Drosophila melanogaster: one gene and its partner. The main gene of each other region encodes a partner of the protein of the gene in region 2 in a complex. Each region holds a gene or a part of one and is shown on either strand. Other genes may lie near its edges.

What was found.
Region 1: Polr3B (region 2) and Polr3F share a complex: the UniProt entries of both Drosophila melanogaster proteins name them as parts of the RNA polymerase III (Pol III) complex.

Annotation. Positions count from the first base shown.
Region 1 is NT_033777.3:22,364,068-22,369,291, reverse strand, and holds Polr3F (RNA polymerase III subunit F), read left to right. Parts: upstream 1-1,918; 5' UTR 1,919-1,938; intron 1,939-2,013; 5' UTR 2,014-2,074; intron 2,075-2,132; exon of another isoform or gene 2,133-2,133; 5' UTR 2,134-2,137; coding exon 2,138-2,530; intron 2,531-2,588; coding exon 2,589-3,077; 3' UTR 3,078-3,212; downstream 3,213-5,224. Other genes in the region: CG5382 (uncharacterized protein), read left to right, coding at 3,479-3,580, 3,644-3,755, 3,823-4,016, 4,072-4,273, 4,335-4,624; CG7071 (uncharacterized protein), read right to left, coding at 4,785-5,095, 5,165-5,224. UniProt on the Drosophila melanogaster protein: DNA-dependent RNA polymerase catalyzes the transcription of DNA into RNA using the four ribonucleoside triphosphates as substrates. Specific peripheric component of RNA polymerase III which synthesizes small RNAs, such as 5S rRNA and tRNAs.
Region 2 is NT_033778.4:12,035,824-12,044,628, reverse strand, and holds Polr3B (RNA polymerase III subunit B), read right to left. Parts: upstream 5,589-8,805; 5' UTR 5,511-5,588; coding exon 4,628-5,510; intron 4,577-4,627; coding exon 2,046-4,576; 3' UTR 2,006-2,045; downstream 1-2,005. Other genes in the region: 128up (upstream of RpIII128), read right to left, coding at 5,850-5,952, 6,018-6,858, 6,912-7,032, 7,165-7,206; CG43191 (uncharacterized protein), read left to right, coding at 7,464-7,476, 7,542-7,952, 8,062-8,190, 8,246-8,400; CG8321 (uncharacterized protein), read right to left, coding at 8,751-8,805. UniProt on the Drosophila melanogaster protein: DNA-dependent RNA polymerase catalyzes the transcription of DNA into RNA using the four ribonucleoside triphosphates as substrates. Second largest core component of RNA polymerase III which synthesizes small RNAs, such as 5S rRNA and tRNAs.

The DNA.
Region 1 (5,224 bases), on a different chromosome or scaffold from region 2:
AAGTTCGACTGCCACACAGATTTTTTGGCAAGCGGAAATTTTCCTAGCCGCAGAAAAAGCGCTCAGAATGTCGGTAGCCCGACAGCAAAGAGAGCATAAACGCAGAGGAGAGAGAGTTTGGGCCCAAGAGGCAAGAGGCGGACGCAACAGGCCACCCCTAAAGAGACAACATTGGTGAGCGAGCAAGAAGGGTATATTCAAGGGTATGCTCGACCAGGGACTGCCAGCTGCTCAGTCGACCAAGTGGCCTTACCGCTATTCCCAATATAATTCCGAGTGAAATATAACCTTAATCTTACAATACTGCATATAAAAATTAATAAAGATATTATCAAATGGAAAAGATAGAGGCTCAAATTATCATTCGATATTTAAGTATAAGTAAAGTGTTTAGCAGGATCAAGATATGCTATTGTGCCAACATACCCTAACTCCCTTCGCGTAAGGGGATGCGAAAAGTTTATCCAAAAAGGAAGCTCCGAAGTTAACTGGCGCAAAGCTCCGTTGCTAGGCTGGCCGGCAATCGGATAGAACAGAAGGTTCAACGATCCATTACGATTATTAATTTTTGCATATAAATTTGCATTGTACAGAAGTATGTGTATATATGATTATATGGACACGTGATGTCAGTATGTGTGTGCGTGGTAAACAAAAAACCGATCATCAGCTGTTAGACGGCGCTTATCAGCTGGCAATACAGAAAAAAAGCAACGCGGAAAAGAGCCCACTGTCCAACTGTCCCACTTCCACCTAGAATTCCACTGTGCTGACCTTGACAACCTAATCTCCTCCACAGAAAACAGCTTCGTCTCGCTCGCACTGCCATTATGCAAGTGCGTGAGCATCTACTTTCCTTTTATCTTCCGCTCTCTCTTTCGCTCATCGTGAGTGACACGCGCAGAAACCGTGCAAGTAAAGCTCGCCGGCCTGCAGCTTTTGTCGCCGGAAAACGCACGAGAAAAGTTCTGAAAGTGAAAGTGCTTTTCCAGGCTTCAGTCAATATGTAATGAGTACTATGTGCCGTACTATTTAACCTTGAACTTGTGGATAAAGGACGTTAGCGCCGTTAACATTTTGAAGCTCGGGTCTGCAACAACAAATGCTTATCACTGAGACGCCGAAACAGCAACAAAATTTCAAATATAATTCAGACAATCCGGCACAGAGCAAATTTATGCAAAATTACTCATCATCGCTGAAAGCGTCGTCGTCACAGAGCAATTAAACAATTGCGATAGTGGAAGTTTACAGCGGTTCAAGATTATTATTGCTGCATTATTTCCGATGGCATGTTTAATAGGGTGTGATTGCGATGGTGTAGGTTATTTTACTTGTGGCGCGCTCCGCATGGAATGACTTCTATTTCACCTTTACACATTTCGCTAACGAGGTTCTTTTGAGATTGTATGGGTGTGCGAATTGAATTCGCAGCCGTGCTTGTGTGTATGTGTTTTGTGAGGCGGCAAACGCAATTCTACATAATGTGGAGAAATTGCTTGCATCATCAACAACAGCAAAAACAAATGTCTTGCCCCCGCCAATTTCGTTAGCAAAATTTCTAGCGTATTATAATGGAATGATGTTTAGCTTGAGGTCGTATCAAGAAGATCTGATAATTACCTGTTTTTGACAGTAAAGGTGAACTCGCGGAAAGATGTATTTGCTCTTCCTGTTTTGGAATTATTTTAATTCAATTTAAATGCACAGGCAGCGAACACTCCAATCAGAAACAGTGCGTCCGGCGATCTGTTCGAAAAAACAGTTGGCACCAATGAGCCTAAAAAAGCCACTCGTTTTTAAAATAAATACCATTTGGTATATACATACCAGATTCACGATATAACATTTGGGGTCTTCGGAAAGCTTTAAATTTTATTTAAAGCAATTTGTAATAAAGCCTAAAACATATGCTCCTTATTTATCCTCATTTATTCAGTTGCGTAAAGTATTATTTTTAATAGAACAAACTTATATTTTTAAAATTGGTTTGTGATTTTTGTTATTTTTTAGCTTCTTCTTAGCAGCGGTAGCCATTCGCCCGGAACCGTTTGTTTTTGTTTTGCTTTTCACGGTAAGCGTGTTGTTTTTCTCGATTTAATTGAATTTTAAATAACAAATTTTCGAGAATAGAAAAATGGCCACTGAGGTGTCGCAACTTTTGCTGGCGGTGGTCCAGGGCATCCCAGCCGGTGCCACCAACGATGACCTGACCAAGGCGCTGCCCGATGTGCCGGCGGCCACGCGGGTGGAAGCTTTGAATATACTGCTGCAGGAGGGCGGGATCGAGATCCTGAAGAAGGGTGAAAAGCTGGTGTACCGTGCCAAGGACCCGGAAAAGAAGAGTGCCCTGCCCAAGGATGCGGACAATGAGGAGAAGGTCGTCTACGGCATTGTTGAGGAGGGCGGCAACAAAGGCATCTGGATTAGGGATATACGTATGAAGTCCAACCTGAACATGATACAGCTCAACAAGATCCTCAAGAACCTAGAAACCAAGAAGCTCATCAAGGCGGTCAAGTCGGTGAACGTAGGTTCTATGATCCCATATTCCAAGTTCAATGTGATTCCAAATTTTCTTCGCGCAGGCCAGCAAAAAGAAAGTGTACATGCTGTACAACCTAGAGCCGGATCTCTCCATTACGGGAGGAGCCTGGTACCAGGATCAGGACTTTGAGGTGGAGTTTGTGGATGTGCTCAACCAGCAGTGCCTGCGCTTTCTGCAAATGAAACGCGACAGTGCGGAAAAGAAGCGCGAGGGGCCACTGGCCTTCAAGCAGATGTCTTGCTGCACGGTGAACGAGGTTCAGAAGTTCATCTCGGACTTGGGCATCAGCAAGGTTAATCTGGCGGAGGCCGATCTGGAAACAATTCTCAAAACAGTGGTGTACGACGGCAATGCGGAGCGAGTGCGCCAGCAGGATGGATCCTTCGTCTACCGGGCGGTGAACGCCCCACTTCCTCCGACTGGTCTGGTCCAGATGCCATGTGGCATTTGTCCCGTCATCAAAAACTGCTCCAATTGTGGCGATGTAACTGCTATAACTTGTGAATATATGCGAGATTGGTTGGATTAGGGATTAGCTCGAAAACTCTGGATTTTATTTTATATTAAGTATTACAAATTGAACTTATTGTTTATTAAGCTTTTTGTAGCACAAACATTATTAACTCTTAAATGTTATGGTTACCATAAAAAAAAGGAAAATTTGAAACCGATTTTTTAAATCGCAAACACATATCGTATTTCATCATTCATCGCTACGATATTCGCAGAATATGTCAGCTGGTTGCCAATCGCCCGGAACGCATGAACAGATACGTGGCTGTTGAATATGTGAATGAAAACTCGAAAATTCCGACAAAAGCTGCGAAACGAAATAAAATTTAATTTTATTGAGGCGTTATTATGCGATAGCTGTCCCAAGGCCGCCAAGTGCAATTCCTCCGCCGCCTTAGGAACCCCGAATTTAAGGAAATGGGTTTGTGCAAGTGCCCCAAGCGCCTGGTGACCAACCAGTTTTGCTTTGAGCATCGAGTCAATGTTTGCGAACACTGTATGGTTCAGTCTCATCCAAAGGTAAGGATTCCTGTCCTCTAGTTTTATGGATGCTTGGAATACACCATATCCACTCTTTTTCAGTGCATTGTGCAGTCGTATCTGCAGTGGCTGCGGGACAGCGACTACATCTCCAACTGCACTCTGTGCGGCACCACATTGGAGCAGGGCGATTGCGTGCGCCTCGTCTGCTACCGTAGGGATCTGCCAGTTTTGAGCTAATCCAGACACCACACACTTACCCATAATCCTGCCATTTCCAGATGTTTTCCACTGGGACTGCCTGAACGCCCGCCAAGCCGCACTGCCTGCCAACACAGCCCCTCGGGGTCACCAGTGCCCCGCCTGCAGTGTGGAGATCTTTCCCAACGCCAACCTGGTCTCCCCGGTGGCCGATGCTCTGAAGAGTTTCCTGTCGCAGGTTAACTGGGGCAGAAATGGCCTGGGACTCGCCCTGGTAAGCATTCCGGGCAGTAAGCTTGTAATCAATTTAAATGTTGAATCTTTCCCAGCTCTCTGAGGAGCAGAGCAGCAGTCTGAAGGCCATTAAGCCCAAGGTGGCAAGCCAGGCGGCTGTCAGCAACATGACCAAAGTGCACCACATCCATTCCGGTGGCGAGCGAGAGCGCACGAAGCCCAATGGCCATGACGCCGTGAGCCCACATTCCGTGCTCCTAATGGATGCATTTAATCCCCCAAGTGCGGGCGACTACGGTGCGCATAATCTAGCATACACTTTGAGTCATATTATAATTATAATCTTACGCACCTGCAGCCAGCAGCAGAAGACCGCTGCTGCCCCGTCAGTCGCCAATTGGTGGGACAGATCGAGACGATAATAAGTACCAGCGCCGCACTCCTGCGGAATTGTTCTCGCGATGGACACGCCGCTTCTATGCGCCCTCCTCGCGGCCGCCGTGGCGTCGCACTTGGTTCCTGGTGACCGCCGGCATTTTGGCCTTTGTCTTGTTCGTCTATCTTATGGCCTGGCTGGGTCGCGGAGGATCTGATGCCGTGGACGAGGGCTGGAATAACCCCAATCCACAGCCGAACCACTACGAATAGGGTGTGCATTCACGGTCGAAATAAGCATACGTAGCATATAATCGATATCCAAGTCCCCGATTCCGAAAGAATAAAACTTTTACAGCTATTTATATAACCTAACATTGCAAAGCGAAATAATACAACGACAAAGAACGATTTTTACTCGCAGATCATCTATCTAGTCAACATGGGGTTTCAATGTCTGGACTTGACTTCCCTCGGCGGGCGGGGTGCGCTTAGCCGGCGTCGATGGCTGCGGCTTACGTTTGGGCGCGTCCAAGACCTCATCGTACTCGTGCAGCTTCTTGGCCAGGAAGTACATCTCAGCCAGGGCTATGATGAGCGCTACAATCACGCCCAGCAAGATGCGAAAGCCGAAAGGCAGCGGGCCCACCATCAAATTGACGCCGAAAAAGCCGAACGTAAAGCCAGCGGCCACGGAGAAGATGAACTGCACCACGGCAATGATTTGCTTGTTAAGGCTCTTAACTGAAAGGGAAGGGAAGAAGAAAAAGGTTTTAAAAGGGCGGATCTAACAAGCTGGGCGTATTCACTTACTCTGATAGCTGATAGTGTCCTCTGGATAGTGTTTTAAGCCGGCATCCACATTCTTGGTCA
Region 2 (8,805 bases):
TTTTGAAATGAGCGCGTTTTGCTCAAAAGCACTGCCTTTTATACGCAGAGAAAGGGCTTCTAACAGATGTTGAGTTCGAACTGCGAGTGCTCGCTTTTAAATGAATGTTAACTGATAGGTTCAAATAATATTTGTTTTATGTCCTATTGGCCATGTTTCTTTTTAATCATGATAAGTAAACATATTTTTGAAGCCTAACACTTTTTTTTTTTATATTTTTTTTTTTATAAATTATTCCCTGTAGATTTTGGTTATTTAATTAATTAATATTGTATCAATTTTTTGTAAAATAGGTAATAATGTGCTTCTAAAAGAAAACACTAAACAGATTAGAATTTTAAATATATTGAAACATAAAGCTTACAAAGAGAAAACAAACATAGTCAAAAACACGTTCTCTCTCGCTGAATATGTTAACATTTGGCTGTGGCCTAGTCCCTAGAAAACACAAAGAGTTTGCTGGAACAATCCTGGCTGAAAAGTTAAGGTGATTCCAGCAATCTAATCTCTATTTCCATCGGAAGGTGCTTTCGGATTCAATTAGTCCATTGGGAGGGGTTGCGCATTATCAGCCCAATGATATCCGGTGTTGTCAATTCGAAATCCCCTCGCCCGCTTGGAACCCGGCCAAAAGAGCAGTTGGACTACGCTTAACTTTCTACACAAGTGGCCAACACCCATTTAAATCTATATACATCTATTGCCATGCACACATCAACGAACCGTCCAGATAAGAAGAGCAAAAAGCAAACTTTTGACAAATGGCCAAAATACATGAAAGGAAAGCCAAAGCCGGAAGGTGGCCCCAGATTGGGTTCTCATCAGTTTGTGCACGGCGAAAAATAAAGATTCTGTTATGATACTAAAAACTAATAAAAACTATAACTTATTGCATACTTATCAGCGCCTAATTGAGCAAATGGATTCCATAAAGGATAAAGGTATGTAGGTATAAATAGGAATGAGTAGTTTTCTTTTAGTCATACGAATATCAACTAACTTTATATAATTCTCAAAAGTTTTTCCACGTATAAAACGGTACTGAATAGCCCGGAAAAGAGGTGGGCATGCAAGTATGGGGGAGATCAGAGATGGGGCAGCCTTAAATTGTCATCCTAGTGCGCACCATTGGTTCCTCGGATGCTGATGCTGCTTCTGCTGCTGGCAGTTTGCCCCGTTTGCTGTCATTGCACTGCACATAGTAACTTCTACGTGTCCTGCGGAGGAGAAGCAGCAGTGGGTGGTAGCTGTGACTATTTTAAGCGCAGGTCACTCGAAAGGACGCACAAGGACATTGGCTTGTGTGGGTGGCTGTGTCGCCTGCAGTTCGCAGGTCACGTGCATGCACCGCGGTGCATTGACCACGGACACGTTGACACATCGGCCGGAATCTGGGTTGAGCTCCACCTCGAAGCCAGGTGACAGGTAATTGCCTCACGGGCAATCAGGCAATAGGCAATATCGAGGGAAAACAATAAATCAACGCCTGGCGATATTGGTTTTACTAAGAAGCATCAAGCCGCTCGAGAATGTTTAGTTTAACTGAGCCAAAAAACAAAATACACATAAGATAGAGGATTATAAGGACAAAGAGCAAACAAAGAAACAGAATAACAAAAAACATTTCATCTTAACAACTTAATCTTTTGTCCAGACACAGACGTTTTAAATTCGGCCAAAAGGGCAGACACAACTAATTATCCTTTGCGCAATAAAAAAAAAGGATAACATAAGCGATTTAACACGGCTCAGTCCTTTTCAGTAACAGCTTGCGTCTGCCTGTTAACGAACAGAAAGCTGATATGCAAAAGGACCTCGTTAAAATTCAAGAGGACTTTCTTTCGCTGACTTCGTTTGAACCTCTTCATTTTGACATTTGCAGCTCGCGGTCATGGAAACTTAATGAATGCGTAGGATTTTTGCCCTTGCCAGAGTTCACACACCATTCGTTTTTACAAAAATATTGGAAAACCTAAGCTAGTTTCCATCATTAACCATTATTATTATATAACAATTATTTTATTCGGTTTCAGGCCATTGCATCGTTAATAGTTTTCCAAAATCATTTTCGGCACCACATTCATGCTGGTCAACTCCTGGAAGAGCAGTTTGCATGCATACGGCATGGATATCTTAGAGACATTGGCCGACGACTGGCAGAAATGACACCAGGAGCAGTAGGCCATCCTGCCGCAAGTCCGGCAAACATCCACCTCAAAGGCATCCGATGAGATCATCAGACGCTCCATGATCAGCATACTAGCTCCGTAAGAAATGAGACAATCCCGTTCCATTTCGCCCAGACGAAGGCCACCCTCACGACTCCTGCCCTGCGTCGGCTGACGGGTGAGCACCGCCTTGGGTCCCCGGGCACGGGCATGCATCTTATCCTGCACCATATGCTTCAGTTTTTGGTAGTACACGGGTCCCGAGTAGATGTAGGCCTCCAGTGGTGTTCCTGTGATGCCGGAGTAGAAAAAGTCCTTGCCCACGTAGTTGAAACCATGGCGCTCCAGTTCCGCCTGAATGTCTTCCACCTTGGAGCCCCCGAACGCAGTTCCATAGTGGAACTTGCCCTCCAGGAGACCAGCCTTCCCGCCGAGCAGCTCTAACGTTTTACCCACTGTCATACGGGAGGGGAATCCGTGTGGGTTCATTATCATATCCGGGCAGATGCCGAAGTCATTAAAGGGCATATCCTCCTGTTCAACAATCAACCCAGTCACGCCTTTTTGTCCGTGCCGAGAGCTGAACTTGTCCCCGATCTCGGGGATACGTGTCTGGCGCAGCAGGATCTTGATGAGAAAGTCTTCCTCGGCATTGGCGGAAACCATAACGCGTTCGATGTAACTGGGCTCGGGACCCTTATAGCTAATGGGTACTGCGGTGTAGGGAACCTGTGCAGACTGACCCTGCAGCGGATTCATCGATGTTACCGCGGGCATTTCCTTGTTAATCATGATCTGTTTGTTTTGAACCTGCTCGCCTGGAGCCACAATTCCGTCAGTGTCCAGAACGTCGTGCTTGAAGATAACCTTGTTCGTCAGCGCATCTTTCATGGGACCCATGATTCTGTCGAAGGTTTGATTCGCATACCGTTTCACAGTGCACTTTGAGTTTTTGTACACCAGACAGCGTCCATATCCCCGATCTATCGACGCCTTGTTTAAGATCAGCGCATCTTCGATGTCGTAGCCAGAGTAACTCATAACTGCCACAGTGGCATTCTGACCAGCAGGCAATTTGTCAAAGTTGGTAAGCTCGATAGTCTTGGATTTCACCATAGGAGCATGGGGATACACCAGATTATACATCAGCGAGTCAATCCTGTTCTTCTGGTTATAGCCAATCATTCCCATCGCCTGCTTACCCATAGCACACTGATAGGTGTTCCTGGGACTCTGATTGTGATGAGGATAGGGCACCAATCCAGCACAAACTCCCAGCAAAGTGAAGGGTTCGATTTCCAAGTGTGTAGTCCGGTCCTCTATTTGATCCTCGTTCCAGGCGATAAACGAATCGTTCTCCTCGTTCACATCTAAATACTCGATTAGTCCGTCCAAGAGAAAGTCGTCGAACTTACGAATCCCTCGATTCAGCTCGTCCAGGTGATGCTGCTTCACCAGCGGGCGACGGTTCTCCACAATTACATAGGGGCGGCACAGACGACCGCCATCCGTGTGGATGTAGATGCATCGCTGGGTGTATGATGTGTGCACAGACACGTAGCTGCCCATCCGACCCTTTCTGCGCATGTAACGAAGGTTCCGCACCAGGTGCTTGTGGTTCAAGGTGAGACCCAGAACATTACCATTGATGAAGACGAGGAATACATTCGGGTTATTGATGGGGTTACCGCTCACTTCTCGTATGTCTTCCACGCCAGCATTGAAAGCCACTATCATAACGGGTCGCTCCTCAACTTCGGTGGTGATGTGCGTCATCAGAGCCAGATTTTTGACCAGACCACAGGCCTCACCTTCTGGAGTGTCCGAGGGACACAGCATACCCCATTGACTGGGCTGCAGAGATCTGGGTCCCGACACCTTACGCGTCTTCTCAAACTGCGAGTTCACACGCGTCATCATTCCCAACGCTGAGATATAACTCAAACGGGACAGAACCTGCGTTACGCCAGCTCTTTCCATCTTAAATCTCTTGATCGTCCAGTTGCCGGAACTGATAGCAGACTCCAGTCCCGCTGTGATTTGTGCCGCCCTCATGTGCTTGACCACATCGAACTGCGCCGCCTTCACCTTGGGTATATTTTTGTCCGCAATGGTCTTAAGCTCCCAGTTCATGCGCTTGAACAGATCCTCGAACATCATGGAGAGCAAAGAACCTGCCAGCTCCAGTCGCTTGTTGCCGTAGTAATCGCGGTCGTCAAAGAGCGTTTTGTCCAGCTCGGCGGCCATAACACGACGCACCATCATGGATACATAGATGGCCTTCATTTGCAAGTTAAAGTTGTCCACAGGCACATGCGCCAAAATGGTAGTTAACAGCAGCTCACGGGCCTCTTCCGATGGCGTTTTTGTGGTGGCACTCTGAAAACGCTTGACCACCAACTTGGAGCCTAAAAAAAGGTATTTTAAGAACAAAATTTAACTAGGGTAAACAAACCTACCCATGTACTCCAAAGCCCTTTGCTGTGTGAAGACCTTCAGGTTGTAGGCGTCTATTAGAGAGGCACCGAATCTATTCTGCGATTTGCTGTCAATGCCAATTAGCGATTGAATTTCCTGATCGGAAACTACGCCCAGAGCTTTAAAGATCACCACAATGGGTATGTCGTCCGTCATCGAGTTGTGCTTGAGGTAGTACTTTCCATGCTTGCTCAACACCAAAGTACGTGACTTCTTTTCGTGTGTGGAGGAGGTAACCTGGCATTGCACCACACCGTTGAAGTCCTCGGTGAGCATCTTGTTCCATGACAGCTGCTCCTGAATGAGGATAACCTTCTCCTGACCTCGCACCACAAAGTAGCCGCCAGGATCTAGTGGACACTCATTCAGTTTGGACAGCTCGAACTCCGACTTGCCGGTAAGGGCGCAATTGGAGCAGCGCAGCATGAGGGGCATCCTTCCGATGAGCAAATTATTCCGCTTGATCCGCTGGGTTCCCCTCGTGTACTCGATGTCCACGGTGATGGGGGCGGAGTACGTGGTGTCCCTCAGACGGCATTCGTGCGGTGTGGTCGCTTTGGTGATGTTGAAGCCATCGTCGATGTCCGGCTTGCCCACCCGCACATCCAAGTACTTTAGGTAAAACAAAGGATCAGCTCCACTGGTAACCAGCTCGTTAGCCTTCACAATCTTTTTTATGTCCACGTTGATGAAGTGATTGAAGGAATCAATGTGCTGCTTCACTAATCCTTTTACTTGCAAGAATGCCGGCACCAATTTCCACTTCTCCGTTAGCGGCTTAATGGGCACCGACCAGTCCTTGCTGTCGCCGGGATCCCAGGTGGTGGCCTCCACGTTGTGATCGCCCATCTTTAGCTCCACCATTTCGTTATAATAATTTAATTTAAGTTTGTCAACAAAACAGCGTGCTATGAGGTTCTTCGATATGCGGTTTCTTTACCTATCGGTTATCGATATACTTGGGCAAGTGATAGCAAAGTTATTCCCATAGAGCTGGCAGTGAAATTAATTCCCGCTAAATCTAGCTTTAATTTATTTAAATTACCTCTGTGCGCGCCAATTAAAAAATTTGATAAAATAAAAATTAGAGGGTTTTCTTAAACTTAAGCCGCCTTAAATCCACGCACACATAAAGCACATTCGTTTTTTATTTTCGAATAAAAAATGCCATCAAGTAATCAAAGTGTTATCGTTGCACAGAGTCTAAACCTTCTTCACAATCTGGACCACATCCTCGTCGTTGAGAACGTGTTCGATGCCCACCTTCTGTGGCTGATGCTTCACAGATGAGCCCCAAACCAGCGCACTACGAAGGAAATACATAAATGTTATTATAACCAAGGGAACAGAGGGAAAGTGAAGCGCACTCACTATTTAAATTCCTTGGCAATGGAGCGATGCAGCTTGTTGCAGAAATCCTCAATGCTGGTGCGCTCGTTGTGGAGTACCACGGGCGAGTTGTAATCGGGCAGCTGGCCCTTGGGCTTGGTGTAGATGCGCTGCAGTCGCAGGTATTCCCACATCAGCTCCAGCAGATCGTCAAAGTTCCAGTGGTGATGGGCCGAGATGGGCACGCAATGCGGGATCTTGTAGATGACGTCCAGCTCCTCGATGGAGATCTGATCGATCTTGTTCAGCAGATATATGCAGGGTATGTAGATGCGGTTGCCCTCGATAACGTCAATGAGGTCGTCACTAGTGGCGTCGTATCTCAGGGTGATGTCCGCATTGTGGATCTTGTACTCGGATAGAATGGTCTTCACCAGATCCGTGTCCAACTCGGACTGCGGAACCATGCTGTTCAGATTGATGCCACCCTTGTCCTTCCGCTTGTAGTAGATATTTGGTGGTTTCTTGTTAAGCCGGATGCCGAAGCCCTCCAATTCATGCTCGAGGAGTTTCTTGTGGCCAAGCGGTTTCAGGCAATCCAGCACCATGAAAATGAGGTTACAGGTGCGAGCGACAGCAATCACCTGACGACCTCGACCCTTGCCATCCTTAGCGCCCTCAATGATACCGGGCAAGTCCAGCAGCTGGATCTTAGCGCCCTTGTACTTAATGCATCCCGGCACAGTGGTCAACGTTGTGAATTCGTATGCCGCCACCTCGGAGTAAACGCCAGCCAAGTTGGAGAGCAGTGTGGATTTACCCACAGAAGGAAACCCTACGAATCCCACCCGGGCATCTCCAGTCTTGGCCACCTCGAAGCCAGCTGGAAATACATAATGTTTAGTGATTGCCTGAATTATATATCCAAGAGCCTACCTTCGCCGGTTCCGCCGCCGCCTCCTTTGGGGGAAATCAGTTCGCGTCGCAGCTTAGCCAGCTTCGCCTTCAGTAGACCCAAATGGGCCGAGGTGGCCTTGTTCTTTTGGGTTCGGGCCATCTAGGATTCAGTTGAGAAGGTGGTCCAACAACCCGGTGATTTAGATAGAATCCAGGGGGGAATCCGCGGGGTAAATGGATGCGAGACAGGTTAGTTTCTGTAAGATCGGCAGGTACTCCAAGTTCCACTCACCTCCGACTCGATGGCCGAGATTTTCTCCAATATTGTGCTCATGGCTGGCTGAGAGTTAAACGCGGTTCACAGAAAACCCCAGTTATCAACAAATATGCATGTAAAAATAAAATATATAAAACTCTCGCGTGGACAGTTGGAGGTGCAATCGATATGTATTCGATACAATCGATTTGTTCAGTAATGTGGTCGATTCCCAACGTTAGCCAACACTTAACGAATCGTAAAAGTATTCTTAGACAAAATTAAAATGGTCAGGCTGATTGGAATATAGCCGTTACAATTTGATGGCTGCAAGAATGTTTGCTAAAGGTTAAGTTCCGCAATTAAATACTGAGAACTATTTATAAATTAACAAAAAATTAACATTGTTTCAGTTAAACCGCGCACCCCTCTGGGTAACAACCAAGCTCAATTTAAGAGCCAACTGACCAACAACGTCTCGCAATTGAATCGCAGTTTTCCAACGGCCGCTGAACTTTTGCGCAAAAATAGCACCCAATTGCGGCAAACAAAACTAACTGTCTGTCGTAAGGATAATAAGCTAATATACGATGGATTCGTGGAGGAAGCTGTGAAAGTTCAGCCCAAAAAGGAGAACGTTCCATCACCGATTATTCTGGAAAAATCCAGTTGCGAAATGTCAGCCAAAAAGGAATCAGCGGAGTTGCCAAGCTCCCCGATGTTGAAGCCAGGACGAAACTTAATTAGTTTAATTGGTCGCGTGGATTTCTGCCTTAAAACTCAAAAAATGTATCCGGAAATTAATGCTATTTGGAATGTTTACGGTGGGTCTGAACTGAAATACATTCAAAATCAAATTACTATATACATTTTAAACAGAATGATTAATATCGCTAAATTTGGCAAGTTAAATCATTAATTATCGTTTTTCAGGAAAATTGCTACGGATCATTGTGGGAAAACGTGGAGAACACACCTTGCTCGTGCGAAACAAAGAATCGGGGCCCGTCCTTCAGGGAATTTACTACGATTTCGAAGGCGTTATGAGTACTTGGAGCCCAGGTAAAATGCAGGAAACTGATAACCATTACATAACCAAAGTTTTATTCATTAAAAGGCTGCTTTGTCCATCTCGTGGGCCAGTTTATTGGCGAAAATCGCTTGAAAACATTTAAGATTGACCAGGTAAGCGACATTGACTGGCAACAGCAATTTCTGCGCATTGAAAATGTTACCTCGTATATTTTATTGCAAAACACTATGCAAAAGTAATTTATTTTTTAAGGATACAGTTTTCTTGAGATTTTTAGGCCAGGCGATAGTGTACTTTTCACAAGGTATAAATATGCTAGCCTAAGCTTTTCGATCCTGGCCTCCAATCAACAGTGAAATGTTTCATTTTGTACTTTTGTAGTTTACAAATCATGAATAATTTATAGAGTTAGTAACTTATAATTAATATACCTAGGAAATAAGTTAGCTTCAAAATGCCCCCTGACGATTCTCTCCAGGAGCATTGCACAGTTTCAAGGACTACAACAAATACAAATTCCGAAGTGGGCGTATAAAGTCTAATACTGGTGAACTTATTGAACTAATTGGAAGGAAATGGGTATTCAGTTCTACGAGTACAAGTCGAAGTACATGAAGACCGTGACCAGAAATCCGCAGAACAGG